Linked DNA regions of Tamandua tetradactyla. The protein of the gene in region 1 interacts with the protein of each later gene in a pairwise test. Links are inferred from orthologs where the notes say so. Each region holds a gene or a part of one and is shown in the gene's direction. Other genes may lie near its edges.

The links.
Region 2: the proteins of EHMT2 (region 1) and KLF3 interact in binary tests that used the Homo sapiens proteins (3 or more experiments, as listed by UniProt). The two-hybrid records come from large-scale screens. The link is inferred for Tamandua tetradactyla from reciprocal best matches to the Homo sapiens genes EHMT2 and KLF3.

Annotation. Positions count from the first base shown.
Region 1 is NC_135331.1:87,473,832-87,483,861, reverse strand, and holds the start of EHMT2 (histone-lysine N-methyltransferase EHMT2), read left to right. Parts: upstream 1-5,711; 5' UTR 5,712-5,719; coding exon 5,720-5,761; intron 5,762-6,408; coding exon 6,409-6,475; intron 6,476-6,563; coding exon 6,564-6,782; intron 6,783-6,888; coding exon 6,889-7,142; intron 7,143-8,081; coding exon 8,082-8,166; intron 8,167-8,251; coding exon 8,252-8,292; intron 8,293-8,449; coding exon 8,450-8,605; intron 8,606-9,879; coding exon 9,880-10,017; intron 10,018-10,030. Other genes in the region: ZBTB12 (zinc finger and BTB domain-containing protein 12), read left to right, coding at 2,089-3,468. UniProt on the Homo sapiens protein: Histone methyltransferase that specifically mono- and dimethylates 'Lys-9' of histone H3 (H3K9me1 and H3K9me2, respectively) in euchromatin.
Region 2 is NC_135345.1:40,245,797-40,255,362, forward strand, and holds the start of KLF3 (Krueppel-like factor 3), read left to right. Parts: upstream 1-5,354; 5' UTR 5,355-5,466; coding exon of another isoform or gene 5,467-5,699; 5' UTR 5,700-5,780; exon of another isoform or gene 5,781-6,220; intron 6,221-9,566. Other genes in the region: uncharacterized protein LOC143663134, read right to left, coding at 5,467-5,699. UniProt on the Homo sapiens protein: Binds to the CACCC box of erythroid cell-expressed genes. May play a role in hematopoiesis.

The DNA of each region.
Region 1 (10,030 bases):
AAGGCACCACCCAAGCACTGCCCCAGCCCTCCCACCAAAGAACATCCTTTGATTTTGGGAATTTAGTTTAAGTCAGGAATAAACTTTTTATGGATGGATTCTGGCTGAACTGAAGAGGATGACCTCAACAGTTAGCCTTTTTTTGCGAGACTTCTATTTGCAGAACATAAGCTACCACATAATTCCTTCAATCAAGTTTACAATTTAATGGGAAAACCAGACATTGAACTCTATAATGCATCTTCATCAGAATTGAGGTATAAGAAAAATGCTCTAGTCTTCTAGAAGACGTAATAAGCAAATCCAATTGGTAGGAAACAGGAGCATCTTCACCTGGACTTGGATGAATGGAGAAGTGAGTGTAGGTGTGAGGAGTGCAAGGAAGAGGAGGGGAAGGGAGACTTTAGTACAGTTAGGGAGTTACAAAGAGAAGGCAAAGGAGCAGAGTTGAGGGGAAGTTTGTTTAAGGCGTCAGTCTGAGGAAGGGAGGTGGGTGGAGGGGCAATTGCAACCGAAAGAAGAAAGATAGTGGGATCATAGTAATATAAATAATCGTATAATTAGAAGAATTAGTGCTAGGGCTAATTATATAGTAGGAGTGAAATAGGCAAGGTCATAGTGCAAGTGAAGGGCGTTTGTCTTGGCAAGAAGTTGGGCTTAATTCTGAGACTGGACGGGAGGAGAGGATGGATGTGATTTTAAGCGATTGTGAGATGGAGGGGAGGAAAGTTGAGGGCACTGAATTGTCAGGCTTCGTGGAAAGCGAAGTTATCAGCTAGAAGGGCGGGGGTGGTTGCTAGCTTCAGAAGAGTGGGAAAAATCTGGAAGTGTGGCTGGAGGAACTGGGAACACACTCAAAAGGAGATACACGCGTGGAAACAGCGATCAACAGCTCCGATACTCGCCGGGCGGTTTAGGGCCCTGGGATAGGCCGCGATTCTACCACGGTCTCCAGCGCCGCACAGGTGGACCAAAGCGGCACCACTTCTGGGAGCAGGTGGCAGCCAGGCCAGCGGGATGCCAGGCCCACTGGGAGCCAGGCGGACGCTCAAAGCTGGAAGGCGGGGTGCGGAGCGGGTAGCGCCGCTGGCCGCCGGGAGCAGGAGGCGGGCCGGAGCAAGCGAGCCTCCGCGCGGCACTTGGCACGCACGCGCAGACGGACCGCGGGGCCTGGAGGCACAGAGGAGGGGGAGCGAGAAAGAGCGGGGAGTGGAACGTATTTCCGCTCTGGCGGACAAATAATCTCGGCCAAAGGGGAGGCAAGGCCGTCCGGCCCCTTTAACCGCGTCAGGGGGGGCTGGTGAAGAAAGGGGGGTCGGGAAGGGGGGATCCTGCTCCTTTAATTCCCTCCCCTCTTCCTCCTCCCCGAGTCCTCGCCGCCGCCGCCGCCGCGCGCGGGGCCTGGGACACACGGCACGAGCCGCCCCCGCCCCTCCCCCTTACACCCACGCGGAGCCGGCCACGCGCGCGCGCCCCGTGCACCCCCGCGCCTGCGCGTTGCCCAGGCCCTGCCCGTGTGTGGGGGGCGCCGCCAGCCCCGGGGGGGTGGGGGAAATAGGGGGGAAAAAACAGCGCGCGGAACCCTGCCAGGTGAGAGGCGCGTGCATTTAGGGTCGTGGGGCTGGGGGGCGTGCCACGGACCTGGGGGGTGGCGTGCACGATGCGTGCAGACGGCAGGAGGGGGGAACGTGAAAGGCGCGTGCAAACGTGCAAAGGGGGGGCGGAGGAACGAGGCTGCGGGTAAAGGGGGCGGGGTGAGAAGAACCTGCAACCCGGGCCGCCCCGGAGCCCAGAGTCCCAGGTCTCTACCCCCCCTCCCTCAGTTCCTCCCCAGTGGGCTCGCGGGCTTGCCCGATGCTCGCCGGCGGCCCCGCCCCCGGCAACCACGCCTCCTTCTCGCAGGGGCCCAGCGACTCCCCTGGCACTGGGGAAACTGAGGAAGAGTCCTGAAGTCTTGTGGATAGGGTGTTGGGGATAGGAGGTCGAGCAAGAATGGAGGTGCGGGGCCTAGAGCCACGGCTTCGGAGAGCCAGAGACCTTTGTCTCTGACCATTTTCCTTCCCAACTAGGGTTGCCCCCTCCGCCACAATGGCCTCTGGGGTGGAAGTCCTGCGCTTCCAGCTGCCGGGCCATGAGGCCGCTACACTGCGGAACATGAACCAGCTCCGCGCAGAGGAGCGGTTCTGCGACGTGACCATTGTGGCCGACAGCCTCAAGTTCCGCGGCCACAAGGTCATCCTGGCCGCCTGCTCGCCGTTCCTGCGGGACCAGTTCCTGCTGAACCCCAGCTCTGAGCTGCAGGTCTCGTTGATGCACAGTGCGCGCATCGTGGCGGACCTGCTCCTCTCCTGCTACACTGGTGCCCTGGAATTTGCCGTCAGGGACATCGTCAACTATCTGACGGCTGCCTCCTACCTGCAGATGGAGCACGTGGTGGAGAAATGCCGGAACGCCCTCAGCCAGTTCATCGAGCCCAAGATTGGCCTCAAAGAGGACGGGGTCAGCGAGGCCAGCCTCGTGAGCGGTGTCAGCGCTACCAAGTCCCTCCTACCTCCTGCCAGGACCCCAAAGCCGGCCCCCAAACCCCCTCCTCCACCTCCTCTGCCCCCTCCGCTCCTGCGCCCTGTGAAGCTGGAGTTCCCGCTGGATGAGGACCTGGAGCTGAAGGCGGAGGAGGAGGACGAGGATGAGGACGAAGACGTGTCTGACATCTGCATTGTCAAGGTGGAGTCCGCCCTGGAGGTGGCGCACCGGCTCAAACCCCCCGGAGGCCTGGGAGGAGGTCTGGGCATCGGAGGATCCGTGAGCGGCCATCTCGGGGAGCTGGCCAAAAGCAGCATGCCCCCCAGTGCCGTGGCCCCGCCGCAGGGTGTGGTGAAGGCATGCTACAGCCTTTCTGAGGATGCAGAAGGGGAGGGCCTGCTGTTGATCCCAGGGGGCCGGGCCAGCGTGGGGGCCACTTCGGGTCTGGTGGAGGCGGCAGCAGTGGCCATGGCTGCCCGGGGGGCGGGGGGCAGCCTGGGGGCGGGGGGCAGCCGGGGGCCCCTGCCCGGGGGTTTCTCGGGTGGGAACCCCCTGAAGAACATCAAGTGCACCAAGTGCCCGGAAGTGTTCCAGGGCGTGGAGAAGCTGGTCTTCCACATGCGGGCGCAACACTTCATTTTCATGTGCCCGCGCTGCGGTAAGCAGTTCAACCACAGCAGCAACCTCAACCGCCACATGAACGTGCACCGCGGCGTGAAGTCGCACTCGTGCGGCATCTGCGGCAAGTGCTTCACGCAGAAGTCCACGCTGCACGACCACCTCAACCTGCACTCGGGAGCTCGGCCCTACCGCTGCTCTTACTGCGACGTGCGCTTCGCCCACAAGCCCGCCATTAGGCGGCACCTCAAGGAGCAGCACGGCAAGACCACCGCCGAGAACGTGCTGGAGGCCAGCGTGGCTGAGATCAACGTCCTCATCCGCTAGTGGGCCCGGGGCCCCTGGGCTCGGTGGGAAGGGTCTAGGAGAATGGGGGGGGGGGGGTCTGGGGCAGGAAAGTATGGCGGGGAACCTAGCCAGACATATCCTGAGGGAGGGGCCGAAGATTCCTTGGAGAGAAGACCCTGCCTCTTCACAGCGGGGAGTGGGGGGGAGAATGAAGGAGATGGGGAGAGGGTTTTTTGAGGTCAGGGGATCCGGAGTCCCAGAGAAAGATTGTCTCTAAGAAGTGCATGGATATATGGAGGGAGGGGGAGGGTCCTATAGAATGAGGAGAAAAAAGACTGGAGCTTGTGTTATTCTGGGTTAAAGGCTGCCCAGGAGGAGATTCTGACATTTCATGAGGTGGGTTTGGGTGGGTGGGAATCGGGAGGGAACTGGGCAGGAGGCAGCCTACATGCTCCTGTTTAGAATAGACCCTCAGCAGAGGGAATGGTAGGGGAGAAGAGTATTGAATCCCAGAAAAGAAACGGGGAAACGGTTCTTGCATGCTGGGGGTTGGGGACTTTGGGTACAAGGCTCTCCAAAATTCTAGGGAGAACGAAGTAAGAAGTCAGGTAAGAGAATATGGAGGTGAGCATCCTGGGTAGATATTGGGAAGTGGGGGTATAATAGCGAGAACAGTGTGAATAGTGGCAGGGGTGGGGGGAGGGCACTTAGAAGAGAGGACACAAGGGCTGTTGGGGGGGGAAGGAGTAGAGACTTATACAGTATTTTTTAAAAAAACAAAACGTATTTTTTAGGATTTTTTCTGGAGTTTGGGGTTTTAGTTTTTCTGCTTTTATTTTCAACAAAAAATAAAAAAAAAAACCACCTTTTTTTCTTTATACTCTGGCAACTGCGTGTCTATGACCAACCCTTTTTCTTTATTCAGTTCTCTGACTGCCCCACCCTAGACAGCCTCTCCCTCTAATGTGGCATGCTCAATACCTGGAGATCACAACTCCTGCAGGTCCCATCCCCGAAGGACCCCAGCCTGTAACAGGGAAGGGAGAGTGTAACAAGTGTGCTCCTCTCGCCAGGGACTCTTGTCAGTTCTGTAACCTCAGCACCTTGCAAGATACCCCATAGCACCACAAGTGCAGTGGTTGTTTGGTAGTGGCTGGGATGCACCTGAGTTGCTTTTCTATTTGATGAGTTCGGTATTAGGACTAGGGATAGGTTATACAGGGGGGTCAGTATGTCCACTGAATTATAAGCAGAATTCCGGGTTTGGGCAATTTTTGTCTAGGTAGTAGGTACAGTTTCCAGGGAAAAGTGAACAACCGCTACATTTGGGTTCTGGTGCAAGGAAGACTACAATTCCCAGAAAGCTATGGAATAGGTCTTAACCAAAGAGAACTACAGTTCCCAGAAGGCCTTGAATTGGCCTCAGGTGCCCCTTATCTCAACCACCTACCTGTGTCCAATACTTCCTGTGAAATCGTTATCTTCCAAATTTAGCCAGAATGCCATACCTAAAGGGGTGGTACTTTAGTGCTCGAGGTTGTACATTTTGGTGCAATATCATTCCTACTTTCATTGATAGCTAGGCTATGACTCATGGAGTGTCTGATTTTGCTTGTGAAGTGTTTAGGAAGTGAAAAAAAGGGTAAATGCAGTGTCAATTGGTAGTAATGATTCTTGGGCTGCTGGGGCTTACCTGGATCCCTAGTGCATGTGATGCAGTAACATGCCCAGCATAAACACAAGAGACATTTAGTCTCAGGTTTTCAAAAGGGGACGCTACTAGAGGGGACAAGAAGCAGCAAGGCCACACTAGCAGAGCGTGTAAGTGTTCTCGGCGCATCCCCATCGCCCCCTTCTTGCTCCTTAGAGAAGCGAGGCCAAAATTACGGCTGAGCCTTCTAGTCTGGTGACCCAGAAACCAGAAAGAGAAAAGAGCAACCAGAAGTGGGAGAAGCACACGCGGGCCGGATAAAAATACAGCCGAGGCCAAGAATCAGGAGGGTCAGACTCTCCGTTTGTTACCTAAAACCAGGTACGCACGGAAAGGCCACACTTGGGCCCAGGCGTGCGTCGCCCTCGGTTCTCCGCAGAGCTGAGGCCAGGAAGGGCAGCAATTGTCGCCTACGGCCTGGAGCTTAGAACAACCACCGCCATCTCCAAGGCAGCTCTCGGGGGAAAATGGCCAGAAAAGCGCTGTGCGGCGCCTTTAAGACCCCTCCTCGCCCTCCCTCCCCCCGCCCACGTGACCCGGGGCGGCCGCGCGCCGGCTCGGCCCCCCGCGCGAGCGGCGATGGCGGCGGCGGCGGGAGCTGCAGCGGTGGCGGCCGCCGAGGTGCGGAAGGGGAGGGGGAGAGGCGGGTGCATGCCCGCGCGCGCGCCCGGGGGAAGCGCGCGCCCGTGCAATGCTCCGGGGGTGCAACGGGGCCGGGGGGCCCGGGCGGGACTTGCAGCAATCTGGGGGGCCAACACCGGGGGCGGATGAGGGGACCAGGGGGTGGGAGGTGGGGGGAGTGGGCACGGAGGCGCGCGTGCAGCCGCCGGCTGCCCCCGAGTGGGCGGCGGGCGCCGGGGCCCCAGCGACACGCGCGAGGGGCACGAGGGGCCGTCCGCCAGGCTGGGGGGCAGCGGGCGCTGGAGGGGTTGGTGCCCGGGGTCCCCGCGGCCTGGGGGACAAAGGGGGAGCGGCGCGTGCAGCCGGGAGGAGGGGGCGGGGCCGGGGCGCGGAGGCCCCGCCCCCTCCCCCTCCTCTCCTCTCGGCCCCAGAGATGCGGGGTCTGCCGAGAGGGAGGGGGCTGATGCGGGCCCGGGGGAGGGGTCGTGCGGCCCCTCCGGGCAGCCGAGGCCGCGGAAGGGGGGGGGGCCCATAGGGGAAGAGGTAGGCCCCGGAGCCTGCTGTCTCTTCCCAGAGCCCAGGCGTCCTGGGCCCCCCAACTCCCTACCGGCCTGACCAGCCCTCCCGTCCCTTGTCTCCCCTCCCAGGGGGAGACCCCCGCTGAGGTGGGGGCACTGCTGCTGGAGAAGGAGCCCAGAGGAGCCGCCGAGAGAGGTGAGTGTGCAGCTGAAACGGGCCCAGTTGGACCTTCACCTCCCCCAATATAGCCCTTAGCTCTGTACTTTTTTCTCTTCCTCTTTAGTTCATGGCTCTTTGGGGGACACCCCTCGTAGTGAGGAGACCCTGTCCAAGACCACCCCCGACCCCCTGGAGCCAGCTGGCCCCTCATCCCCAGCCTCTGTCACTGTCACCGTTGGCGATGAGAGGGCTGATACCCCTGTGGGGGCCACACCGCTCATTGGGGATGAACCCGAGAGCCTCGAAGGAGATGGGGACCTCCATGGTGGCCGCATCCTGCTGGGTGAGAGGCTGGGGGTGGTGGGGGGGTGGAGGTGGGGGCGGGGCAGCCTTTGACTCTGCCTTCGCTCTTATCTTGCCTTCTGCCTGTCTGCCTGACTGTTTTTTAGGCCATGCCACAAAGTCATTCCCCTCCTCCCCCAGCAAGGGGGGCGCCTGTCCCAGCCGGGCCAAGATGTCAATGACAGGGGCTGGCAAGTCCCCCCCCTCAGTCCAGAGCTTAGCTATGAGGCTGCTGAGCATGCCAGGTGCCCAGGGAGCAACAGCAGCAGGGCCTGAGCCCCCTCCGGCCACCCCCAGTCCAGAGGGGCAGCCCAAGGTTCACCGAGCCCGGAAAACCATGTCTAAACCTGCCAATGGACAGGTAAGAAGTGGGGGGTGGGGGGTGGGGCGATCAACTGCCAGGAAACTCTTGTGGGCTTTTTTTACAACTTGGTTTCAGGCGTCTTCTAGTTCAGTCACGTGTTCACATATGGTTTCAAGGGACTGGGCCAGGGAGCTTAATTCTTGAACACACGTCTTTGTGTCTTTCTGGAGTTTCACGTCCTTGGAGAGGAAGACAGAGACAGGTTTAAAGAGTTAATTATATAGTCAAAGGTCTTACTTACCTTTATGATAATGACTATGTAAAGGAACTTGAAACCACCCTTCCTTTCTGCCTCAAAGCCAGCCCCCAGGGGAATTTTTTTTCTCCTTTCTTTGAAGCTGCCCCTGCTCCGTTTTAAATTCCTGGGAATCCCTATGAGGAAGGACTACAGAAATGAGTGGAGGGAAATGACAATGGCCCCAGAATCTCAGAAACTTTATGGCCGGGTTTTAAGGACTCTTGATAACATTCTGTCCTGGCTGTGGTTTGGGCAGCCTCAGTCAGGTCTTTCATCTTGTGTGTGTGTGTGTGTGTGTGTGTGTGTGTGTGTGTGTGTGTGTTAAAATATATACAATGTAACATTTCCCATTTTAACCACTTTGAATTGCTCAACTTGCTGGTATTGATTACATTCATAACGTGTGACCATCAACGAGGATCTTTAATCTGTAAAGTTTGTTTTCTCATCTTAAAAATGGGAGAACGACCCCTGCATCTGGGTGGCTGAAAGATAAGTGATGGTTGGTGGTGGGGGATGTGCTTGACATCCTCCTCTGAGGCAAACAGCCCTTGGTATTGCTACATACTCGTTCCTGGAGACCCAGATGGCATTTTTAAGGGTGTGGCCCGCCAATCCAGCCCCACCAAGGGCTCCAGGCTACTGTGCAGAACTGTAGGTATTCCCTTCTCCTAAGTGTGCTCCCTCTCGGCCCCCAGCCCCCTGTCCCCGAGAAGCGGCCCCCTGAAGTGCAGCATTTCCGCATGAGTGATGACGTGCACTCCCTGGGGAAGGTGACCTCAGGTCAGTCCCACCCCCCACCCACTGCAGCCTGATGTGGCCTGTCCGCAGGATTTCGAGTACAAGCCTCACTCCTCTCTCCTTCCAGATGCCGTCAAAAGGAGGAAACTGAACTCTAGAGGCAGCCTGGTGAGCCAGGAGAGGCAGGGAGCGAAGCCTCTCCACCTGGGGTTGGGGTGGGGCTGCTTCAGGGGTGCCCAGGCCTGGGACCCGACTCTGGGTGCTCAGGGGAGGTGAAAGTTGGTGAGGAGTGCCAGCGACGTCAGTTTTTCTGCTCTTTTTCTAGTCGGATGAGTTGGCTTCTGCCCGGGGCTCAGGAGAAGTGACTCTGGAGAAGGGGGACCCTGGGCCCCTGGAGGAGTGGGAGACAGTGGTGGGAGATGACTTCAGTCTCTACTATGATTCCTACTCTGTGGACGAACGCGTGGACTCTGACAGCAAGGTGAGATGGAGCTGGCCGGCCTCCCCCAGCCCCCCTCCACCACAGCCTGGGTTCACTGGCCACACTTTCCTCCCCCCTCCCCCATTCATTTTGCGCCCATTCATTCACTGCCTAATACTACCTATAACTTACTCCCAGGGTTATTTCCCATGCCATCCCTTGACCCTTTTCACAGAGGCCACCACCATCCTGGACACTGGGTTTAACATTCTATTTGTTGTTTAATTGTCACTAGTTTGCAGTTTTTTATTTCCTTGCTCTAGCCTCACTCCAGTACATACCTACTGGATTATTTTAAAGCTAAATCCCAGACATCATATCATTTTATCTATAAATATTTCCACCTGCATCTCTAGGTACTAGGCCTCTTCTTTCTACCACTCCATTACTATTTTCACACCAAAAAAAGTTTACCGATGATTCCTAAATCCTATAAAATATCTGGTTGCTGTTCATGATTCCTTAATTAGTTCATAAATGGGTTTTGTTTGTTGAGATCCAAATGAGGTCCACGCGTTGGTTAGATTGACATTTGTCTTAGATCGCTCTTGCTAAGTAGTTTCCCCCTCTTTCCTGAAATTTTTTCCTTGCTATTTCTTGTAAGGAAACCAGGTTAGTTATCTTACTAAGTGTGGATTTCTTAGTTAGGAGTTGGCTTATTGTGGTGGGGTTTTGACATGTCCCTCTTGACCCCTTATTTTTTGTAAACTAGATCTACAAGTGTGCTCAGCTTTACTTTGCAAGAAGACCTGATAACTGGTGCCAGGTGCTTCCTTTTGCATCGCATTGGGAAGCACAGAATGTCTGATCTCTCTCGTTAGCGATGTTAGGAATATTCAGCGGACTAAGCTGACATTAGCCTGATTAATTCATTATAAAATTCTCTGTTTGCTTTTCACCTAGTGCTTTAGCAGCCATCAGTAGTCTTGTCTATTTGTGAACGCCATTAAAAGGTATCACACTATGCAATTATCCTCTAGAAGCTTCCTTTTTTTAAAGTTACTGTTATGTTGCAAAGATTCACATACATTGTTATTCGTGGCTATGACTCTTTTCTCCCTTCTGTGTAGTACTCCTTTTCTCCCTTCTGTGTAGTACTCCACACACACACCCGCCCCGCCCCCCATGGAGTGGTTGTAATTTGCTTATTGCCAACTCGGTGCCCCAATCCTTTTGTGGGGGATGTCCTGCCCTGCCCCTCTCCTGGGCTCCACCAGGAGACAGCTGTAGCCTGGGACCACTGTGCCCCCAGCCCCACCTTGCCTCTCTCGCAGTCTGAAGTTGAAGCTCTGGCCGAACAACTGAGTGAGGAAGAGGAAGAGGAGGAGGAGGAGGAGGAGGAAGAGGAGGAAGAGGAAGAAGAGGAGGAAGAAGAGGAGGAAGATGAAGAGTCCGGCAATCAATCAGACAGAGTAAGGGCTAGAG
Region 2 (9,566 bases), on another chromosome or scaffold:
AAAAAGCCATGTTCTAATCTAATCTTGTGGATGCAGACCTATTGTGGGTGGGACCTTTTGATTGGGTTGTTTCCCTTGGGTATCACCCACTCAATTGAAAGTGGGTTTTAATCCTTTTACTGAAATCCTCTATGACGAGAAAAAAAACCAGAAAACAGAGAGAACTCAGAGCCGACACAGAGAACAGAGAGATGAAACTAAGTGAAAGATGCTTAGAGAAAGAAAACCCCCACCAGAAGCCAGAGGACCCACAGTTGCTGAGAGATCCATTTTGAAACCAGCCCTGAAGAGAAGGGCCAGTATATAGCACCATGTTCTTCCTGTGTGTGCCAATTTGAAAGTGTAGTGTACCTGAGAAAAGACATGTCCTTTAATCTGGATTCAATATCGTAGTGTAAAAACCCTTTTGACTAGATCATCTCCAGAGATGTGATGCCCCAGTTGTGGGTGTGACCTTTTGATGAAATTATCTTTGCGAAGATATGGCATGCCCATTTGTCAGGTGTGGCCTTTGGTTAGATGGAGATGTGACTCTGCCCATTCAAGGGGGGTGGGTATTGATTAGTTTACTGGAGTCCTTTAAAATCAGAAATGTTTTGAAGAAACCTTGGATGCAGATGCTTGGAGAACAGTTGCTTCAGAGCTACAGAGACATGGATGTTGGGAGATGCTTGGAGTGCCAACAGAGAGAGCAGATGTCTAGACACAGGTAGAGTCCAGCAGACATCGCCACATGCTTTCCCATTAAATGCTAAGCAAGCAAGAACCCAGAGCTGTGTCCCAAAGGAGCTAAATGAATGCCCACAGACACTTAGAGAGGAAACCACTGGCATCAGGAGCTGGAAGCAACGGAACTGGGAACAAAGACCAGCAGATGCCAGCCACATACCTTTCTAGCTGACAGAGGTGTTCCAGATGGCATCAGCCTTTCTTGAAGGAAGGTAACCTCTTGTTGGCGCCTGAATTTGGGCATTTTCATGGCCTAAGAACTGTAAACTTGTAATGTAATAAATTCCATTTATGAAGCCATTCCATTTCTGGTATATTGCATTCCAGCAGCATTAGCTAACTAATATACCATAAGACAGAAATCCCAAAAGTGATCAGCCTTTTTGAATGAAGGTATCCTCTTGTTGTCTCAATTTGGGCATTTTCATGGCATTAGAATTGTAAATATGTAACCTAATAAATCCCTCTTGTAAAAGCCAATCCATTTCTGGTATATTGCCTTCTGGCATCATCAGCAAACCAAAACACACATGTAGATCAAGGTTCTCAGTGGTGGCACTACTGATACTTTGTAGAAGGCTATCTTGTGTGTTATAGCATATGTAGCAGCATCACTGGCCTCTATCCACTCAATGCCAGTAAGCCCCACCCCCAATCATGACAGCCAATGATGTCTCCAGACATTACCAAATGTCCCCTGAGGGAGGAACTGCCCCAAGTTAAGAACCACTGGTCTGGTTGGATGCTGGCTGGTATCATTTACCAAGACCATGAACACTGGAATTCCAGTGTTCATTACCTATGTATCAATAGGTACAATTGATACATTACCTATGTATCAGCAGGTTAATTAGGGCTTGGGCTATAGAATGTAACTAAAAGTTGCCTCAATAACACAGACATTAAATTCTCTCACATGACAATAAGTCAAGGGGGATTAATTCAGTAGCTCTGTGGGTATCTTAGCTTTCCCCTCATGATCAAAGATGGCTGCCACATCTTCAAGCATCACATCTTCACATAACACCTTCCAAACAGGTTCTGGAAGCTTATTCTCATAAGGGTCTCCTTTTGTCAGGGAGAAAAATATTTTCCATAAATAAATACAGCACACTTCTCTTCAGATTCCACTGGCCAGAACTAGGTCACAGACCTACTCCTCAACCAGGCACTAGCCAAAAGGACTGAGACTGCAATGACTGGCAGGGAGCAATGACGGTTCTTCCACTGATCCCAGGAGGGGCATCCTTCTTGAGCATATGCTGCCCAGAAGCCAAGCCAGACAGGGCTGCTGTTAACAAAGACAAAGGGTGAAGCAGCTGCTGCAAGGACCAAGCTTAAGGTATTTCATACAGCCATGATTTATTGAACACCTAACCATGGACAAGACACTGTGCTAAGTGTTAGGGAAGAAAACAAGACCTAGGCACCACTTTTATCATCTCACTCTGCTGCTTAAAAACATTCAGTGAAGGGAGCCTCATCCTCCTTCTGTTTCACTATTTCAAAGCCCTTGGGTTTTTCAAGGTATACATGTTCATGGCTGCTTGCTGCCCCAAAGCTTCCTCTCCCCTCTTGAGCTGAGAATGAATGACTTCTTCTAAATTCATAGAACACATTTATTCATTTTACAAATATTCGGGTTGAGCCTCTGGGCCCTGGGAATTCAATTTTGCTAAAAAGACAAGGTCCCTGCTCTCACAGTTTCCATCCTGGTGCCACAGAAAGATAACTAAATAGTCAACTACAAAAAGGCATGAAAAATGTTATAAGAGGTAAAACATGGGTACTGTCAGAGCATCAAGAAGGAAACCTCAACTCATCTGTAGGTGGGGTGGGAGTGAAGTTGAGAGAACACATATTTGGAAAGAAACATAATTTAAGTCGAGACTTGAAGGATGAACAGAATTCAGGGAAATGAGAATGGAGGTCAGAAGTTGGGGGAGGGCGGGCAATAGCGGCCCAGTGGCAGAGTTCTTGCCTGCCATGCCGGAGACCTGGGTTAGATTCCAGGTGCCTGCCCATGCAAAAAAAAAGTTGGGGGAGAAAGCAAGGAAGCTATACTACCTAGGAAAATGAGCATGTGCAAAAGGCCAGAGATGAGAAGAAGGAGGTGGAAAAATGCTCATTAACGCAAGAAGAGTGAGAAAGGGAGACCAAGGAAAGATGAGCCTGCAATATAGATACAGGCCAGGCCATGTAAGGTGGTAAGCCCTTGGACTTTATCCTAAAGGAATTCACTGAAGGGACTGACATGTGTGGGTATGCATTTTAGAAAAGACACTCTTACTCCATTGTTTCAATACCTTTCCACACTTTAGCCATGCTACAAACATGGTGATCAACAACAGGACACTGCAGCAATAGGGTGGACCAAGGTAGTGGTCAAGAAGTGGGTATGTGACTAAGCAGGTCCAGGATTCAGTGAATGATGAGCTGTGAGGAGTTCAGAAAGAAAAGGAGTCAAGGATGACACAGTTGTAGTTCTGGTCTGAGCAACTGGACGGATGGATGGTGGTGTCCTTCACTGAGTTAGTGAGCACTGGATGGACTTATTGTACAAGTTACCTTGAGGTGCCTCCCACAGGGCACTGAACACAGTGTGTTCATTAATTAACCTCCTTTTTATGGCTTTCCTCCTCCCTCTCAGGCCTTCCATATCAAAGCCCCTCCCTACTTATCTTGGATCACATTTCTCAGATAGACCTACTTCACTCTTCTCCCTTGGGTCCCCACCCACATGAACACTGTAACAACAACACCAAAAAATGGTTTATATGTTACAGGTTCTCATCACTATGTGTCTCTTAAATGCAGCCTGTATTTTTGGAGCATCTACTATGAACCAGGCACTGAAATGTAAACAATACCATCAGTCATCATTAGCATGATTTTTCGGCTTACACAATTCAAAGGCATCCAATCAGACATTTAATAATGTCAGTGATCAATTAATTGCAATTATAATTGACACGAACCCAGTATTTTTTGTTTTTATTCATTTATTCTTTTATTAAAAGACACACACACACAAACCTTACAACTCTTTACATTTTGAAGATTAATATTTAAATGATGGCACAAAATCCGTGTCAGTCTGGTCATTCTCCGCGTGATCTTTTATGTAAGTGCATTATTTACAATATGCAATTTCACTACTTGAGGTTACCCGGTACTAATTTTATAATACTGTGTAACTACATAATGGGGCATGGGGCTCGGAATATACAATATATAAGTAGTACCATGCCTGGATGAAGAATCAAAGAGAGAATGGTGAACTTAAAGGGCCTTTAAAACATCTTGAAGCAATAATAAGCCATAGATTGAAGCAGGGGCGTTTTAAAACAATTCGCAGGACTAAAACAATTGGCCCAATTTTTCCCTTTGTTCTTTTTATTGCCTTCTTTTTTTACAATAATACCATTTAAAAAGAAAATCAAAAGGCATCAAACTCTAGTACCAAACCATACAAAGTCCTCCAAGGACCTGGCTTGGATAGAAAGCGCCTTTCCACCGCCCTGCTTGGAACGCCCTGAAGGCCACTGAGCACGCTCGCGCTCGGTTCCAGGGAAGCAACGTGAAACTAAAGGTCCCCGATCCGAGCCCTTCCCCGGCCCCGGGTTCATGCATTGGGCAGGAGGATCCGGAACGAAGTTTGTCAAGTTTTCCCGCAGGCCGGGCTGAACAAATGCTGCCGCTCTGCAGCTGCCTTTCTGCCCCAGGGGCAGGCCAAGCCCGTGGGAGGTTTGCCCTGAGCGGGGCCTCCGGCCGCTCAAAAAAGCAACAAGGGGGTCCCGGAGCCCCGGGGCACAAAGAAAGAGCGCGCCAAGAGGATGTCGAACGACCCTGGAAATTCTGGACCATTTAGGCTTGGGGGCAACCCACCGTTCCCCTTTCCCCTCCGCCTTCTTTCCCTGAATCCGTTCCCGTCCACCCGCTCCCACACCACCGATGCCTTTTTTCTTTCTTTCTTTTTATAATTTCAGAGAGTTTTATTTACTCGGCCCAGGAGGGGCCGCGCTGGCCTTGGGGCCCAGCCCTTCCCGCCGCGCCCGGGGCCGCCCTTCCCGCCGGAGCCGGCTGATTGATGGCCCCGGCCGGCCCGCGTCCCCCGCCTCGGCTCGCCCGCGAGTCTAAGGCTGTGTGTTTTGGAAGCCGCGCAGCGGGTTGCAGCACTGTGACGCCCGGAACGGGCAGCGCCGCCCTTCCTTTCCCCCGGGCTCGGGCGGCGGCGCGGCGGCGGGTCCCAGGCGGGTGGGGCGCGGGCCCCAGGGAGGAGGGCGGAGGGCGCTGGGCGGAGGGTGCGGGGATGGGGCACGGGCGGGGCCTCCGGGGCGAGGGCGCAGGGCGTGCGCTCAGGGTCCGCCGCTCCGAGCCAGGGCGGGGGGCGGGAGCTTTTGGGGCGGGGGCCGCGCAGTGCACGCCCAGCCCCACGGCTGCGCCGCGCCTCGCGGGACAGGTTTGGCCGGCGGGGCGGCGCCCGGCTCCGGGGAATAATGACTGTCTGTCAGGCCGTCCCCGGGTGACTGGGCGGGGCGGGGCGGAGGCGGCGCGGGAGGCGGGGGTGGCGGGGGAAGGGCGCAGGGCGGGGTGCGTGTTTGCGCGAGTGACTCGGCCGACCCCTCCGGCGGCTGCCTCCACCCAAGTGGGTGGGGACCCGCCCAGCCCGGGCGGCCGCGGCGGCTCCCTCTCCCCTCCCTGACCCTCCCACCCCGGGTTCCAGCCTCTACTTACCCCGCCAGCCTCGGGAGGCTCGCAGAGAGAGCGGCGCCGGCGTCATGTGACTGCCCGGAGTTGGTGCCAGGAGCCAGAGGGGAGCCAGGAACGGAGCCGCGCGGAGCCGGGCCGGAGCCGGAGCGCAAAGCAAGCGCCCGCCGAGCCGAGCCGAACCGAACCGCGTCTGTCGCACGCGCGCGCGTCCGGGTCCCCTGCGGCCGCTGCCGCTGCCCGAACTGGAGCGCTGACATTACTGCATTCGTGGGGTTTAAGGAAGCCCGGAGCCGGGCCTTTATTTATCGTCCGCTGCGCTCAGCACCGCGGTTCTCAAAGTAAGTCCTCACTCCCTCACTTTTCTTTCACGCCTGACTCCAATCGACCCCCTTTTCGTCGTGTCTAGTTGAATATTTTTAATAGGGGGGTAGTGAATGGGCTTGGGACGGTGCAGCGTGGGGGTGGGGGCGCCTGCGGGCTTGGGAAAGTGCAACAGCTCCTCGCTGCCGGGGGTGGGGGCGGAGAGGGAGGCGAGGGGGAGGAGGCCCCGGGCTCAGCGGTCACAAGTGGGACCGGTCACGGTGAGGGAATCCACGGCGCGTATCCGGAGGTTCAGGGGCGTGGGGCTGCCTGCGCCGGCCACGGCCCCCCAGACAGCCTCCGGCCCGGGGACGGCGCAGGCGGGGCCTCACCTGTGTGGTCCCCGGGCCGCCGCCTGCCCGCCCGCGATTCCCTCCAAAGCCCCAGAAATCAGCGTTCGCCGCGTGTGGCAACGTTGTTTGGAGAAAGGTAGCGCCGAGGCCGCCGCGCGCTCCTGCTCCTCCCCTTCCCGGTTCCCCCCCCCCCCCGGCTCCCTCCCCCCCCCCCGGTTCCCCCCACTCCCGCTCCCTCCCCTCCCTCCGCGGGTGCCCCCAGCTATCCCCCTGCCGGACTGGGCGCGCGGCCGCTTGCCCGGCGGAGCAAACTTGGAGCAGCCTCCAGGCCGTCTGGGAGGAAACTTGGGCAATTGGGAGTGGAGTTAGCATCCCGTTCTCGGTCCAGGGCTCCAGGCGCTGCAGGGCGTCCGGATTCTCCTGGGCAGGGGAAAAGAGCTGGCCGGGTTTGGAGAGTCCTCCTCGGGACCCGGAAAGAACCTGCCGCAGTGCCTGGAAGGAGGATTGCAGTGTAGCTGGAGGCGTATAGAGTACCTTAGGGCAAATGCCTGCAGCTTTAGGGACCCGAGCCAGGTGTGGGCCGAGAAGTGATCCCTGGACCAGCACCCATGGGACGTACCCAGCATTTCAGGCTCTTTTTCTGTGATAGCAGATAATACTTGTAATTGTCATGTCCGTGTCCTTGGCACTTAAACGGGAGAACCCTCTTTTTCTGGTTTAAATTTTACAGTAGTGTACAATAATACCAAACGGAGAACATGTGAATGGGACTTACTTTTAAGTCAGGTTAAATGGAAATTGCTTCCCTTCTTGTAGTCACTAAAATAAACGTTTTCACAGATTTTTTTAACTGATTTTTTTTTCCATTGATACACCCAAGACGCTTTAAATATATTGATTATGTTCTTAAAAGAGTCTGGTATCTGGGGAAAAGTGATCTTCTGACTTCATTAGATTTACCATCTGTAATTACTAAGCAAAATCAAGTGGGGAAAAGGCCAGTTGCTTATTATCATAGGGTGTTCCACAGAGCAGTTTTGCACTGTCCTTTTCTGATTGCTTTATGTATGAATTTGAGGAGAAATTTTATAAGAGAAATCCGTTTAGATGATAGTGAAGACTTGCTTTGGGGTCGGAGGTGGGGAGCAGAAATCTAATAGCATTAATATCTCCAAAATTTTGTGAGTTCGTATTTTTAAAGAAAGTTGACAGATAAGTTTTTTTCTGGCTTGAGACAAGCAGTATGTGAGTTGGCCTTGGGCTATTAATAGGAACCTCAGAGTGTTTGATTAATTTAAACTTTCTGCAGAAACTGATTTCTCTGTTTCTGTATTCTTCAGGGTTTGCTGTATAACCATTAGAAAAATAAAAAAGTGGCTGCTTAGACCACAAAACCTTGTCCATATGAAAAAGCAACATAGCTTTGACAAAAGCTATTGTGTGTTTTTTTTTTCACTGCAAAGTTTCTAAGTTAAAACCCAGTCTTTTGGTTGCTATGGGCACAGTGATGCCTTTTTTTTTGAACCTGTAGTTTTGTCTACCCACAGATCCTTAAATCTCTGGTAATGAAAAGCTGAGTTAAACAGTCAGAGAGTAAAGAGAAATAATAGGAAAGAGCTAGGAGTGGATTTCTCTACTTTAAAAATTCCTAAAAGAAAACAGACCTATTACTATCTTTTAAAAGTCGGTATACAGATTGTATAACAATTTTGGATTAAGTGAAATGTCAGGGATGGAATCACATTATCCAAGGTGAATTTCTGTAGACGTGTGTACATTGAAACAGATGTGCAGCTGTGAGCGTATGTGTCTATAACTGCAGGTGGAAAAGGACAGTGAAAACTTGGGGTGACTCTAGATGTGCCACAGACCACGTCTCGGAATTTAGTTCTGTGACTGAGGGACCCTTAAAATGGATCTAATTTTCAATTATGTGTGGTAACCTAGTTGTAATCTTAATTCTTAACAGCAGTGCTCTATTTTCATTTTCCTCAAGATGCTCTGAGCCAGAATGATAATCATCATTTGATCAGGCTAGAGACCAGCTATTGGCATGGGGGAGAAAGGGACAAAAGAAATCCGGAGGGAGGCTGGTGTTAATTATGAAGGTCTCTGCTGCTTGAATATGATAAAATCACATGTTCACTTATGATGTTTACTGTATGTAGCAGCTCCTATTTGTAAATAGGGCAGGTCCCCTGTATAAAACTGGTGTTATTATTCACACCCATAGAACAAACACCTCCACCCCCCTGTTGTTGTCTTAAAAAACTCCAGCTGCTCATGAATATAGGGTCAGGGAGGGCCGGCTAAATGTTTCTCTGTGCTTTCTCTCCAGCACAGCCAGCAGAGCTGTTTCCTGTTCTTTGTTTCAAGGCTGGGGTTTGCGTCATACATTCCAAGTGGCATATGTGTGCTCTTTCCTGTTTCAGGCTGCTTTCTGGTAGATCAGTAGCCCAGTCTGGGCCATGGTCCCTGCCCCTCAACTCCATATCCACCCAGGGAGTTATCATGTCTCTAACACTTGCGATTGCTTAAGATGCCTGTGTTATGTCATAATGAGGAGTCAGTTAACCTTTTAACATATACCCTTTGCCCCAGTGTGTTTATATGGGTAAATAAATACTTTTACCTTTCATTATTATTGTTGTTGTTGTTGTTGTTGTTGTTGTTATTGTCATTGCCAGATCATTAATTTAAAAAAAATTGTGTTCATAATGGTGAAGAAATCTTTTTTTAAAAGTTGGTTTCTGTTCTTTTGTTTTTTAATTCTTGTTTTGAAATGGCTAATGTGTATGTTTGTTTTGACATAGGCATTTTGCCCTGAAGGTATCAATTTTGGATTGGTGTTAACACTTTAGAGTTTAGAATACTTTTGCATTATCTGAAAGCTGGGGCCCACCCTCTTCACATCCTGGGCAGCAGGCTCAAGGTTTAGGAGGCTTCTTTAGATGGGGAATTTAAACAATCTTGGCCAACTTGGATGTGCTCACTTAGGTTTTAAAGAAGAAATCTTTAGAAAAATGATTGAAGGAGAACATTGAATATATTGAGAAAATCCCATTCTTTTTAAAGGCAAAGATTTAAAGACCAGGATAAGTTGTTTTTTTTGAGGACAAAGATTTTAACTCATTCTAGAGCTGATATCCCACCTGTTTCGAGAATAAAAAACTGGAAAAAAAGAAGTAGAAATTTAAAAATCCATTCAATGATAGTTTGGAAAATTTTAATCTTATGTTTTGAATACAGAAGGAGAATTCTCTCATTTTTTTACAAGGACAACTTTTTCATAATTCCCATCCCCCTCCCTTTTTTTTTTTTTTGGTATGATCTGTCAGTTGTGGGTTAACTATTTAAAACCTACCTTAAATACTTTCCTTTTGGTTCTTCAGTAAGTTATATAGACATTTTCTTTTGGAAAAGAAGATATTTGGCGAGTTTATTCTTAAACTGATTGTTTTTAGATTATCT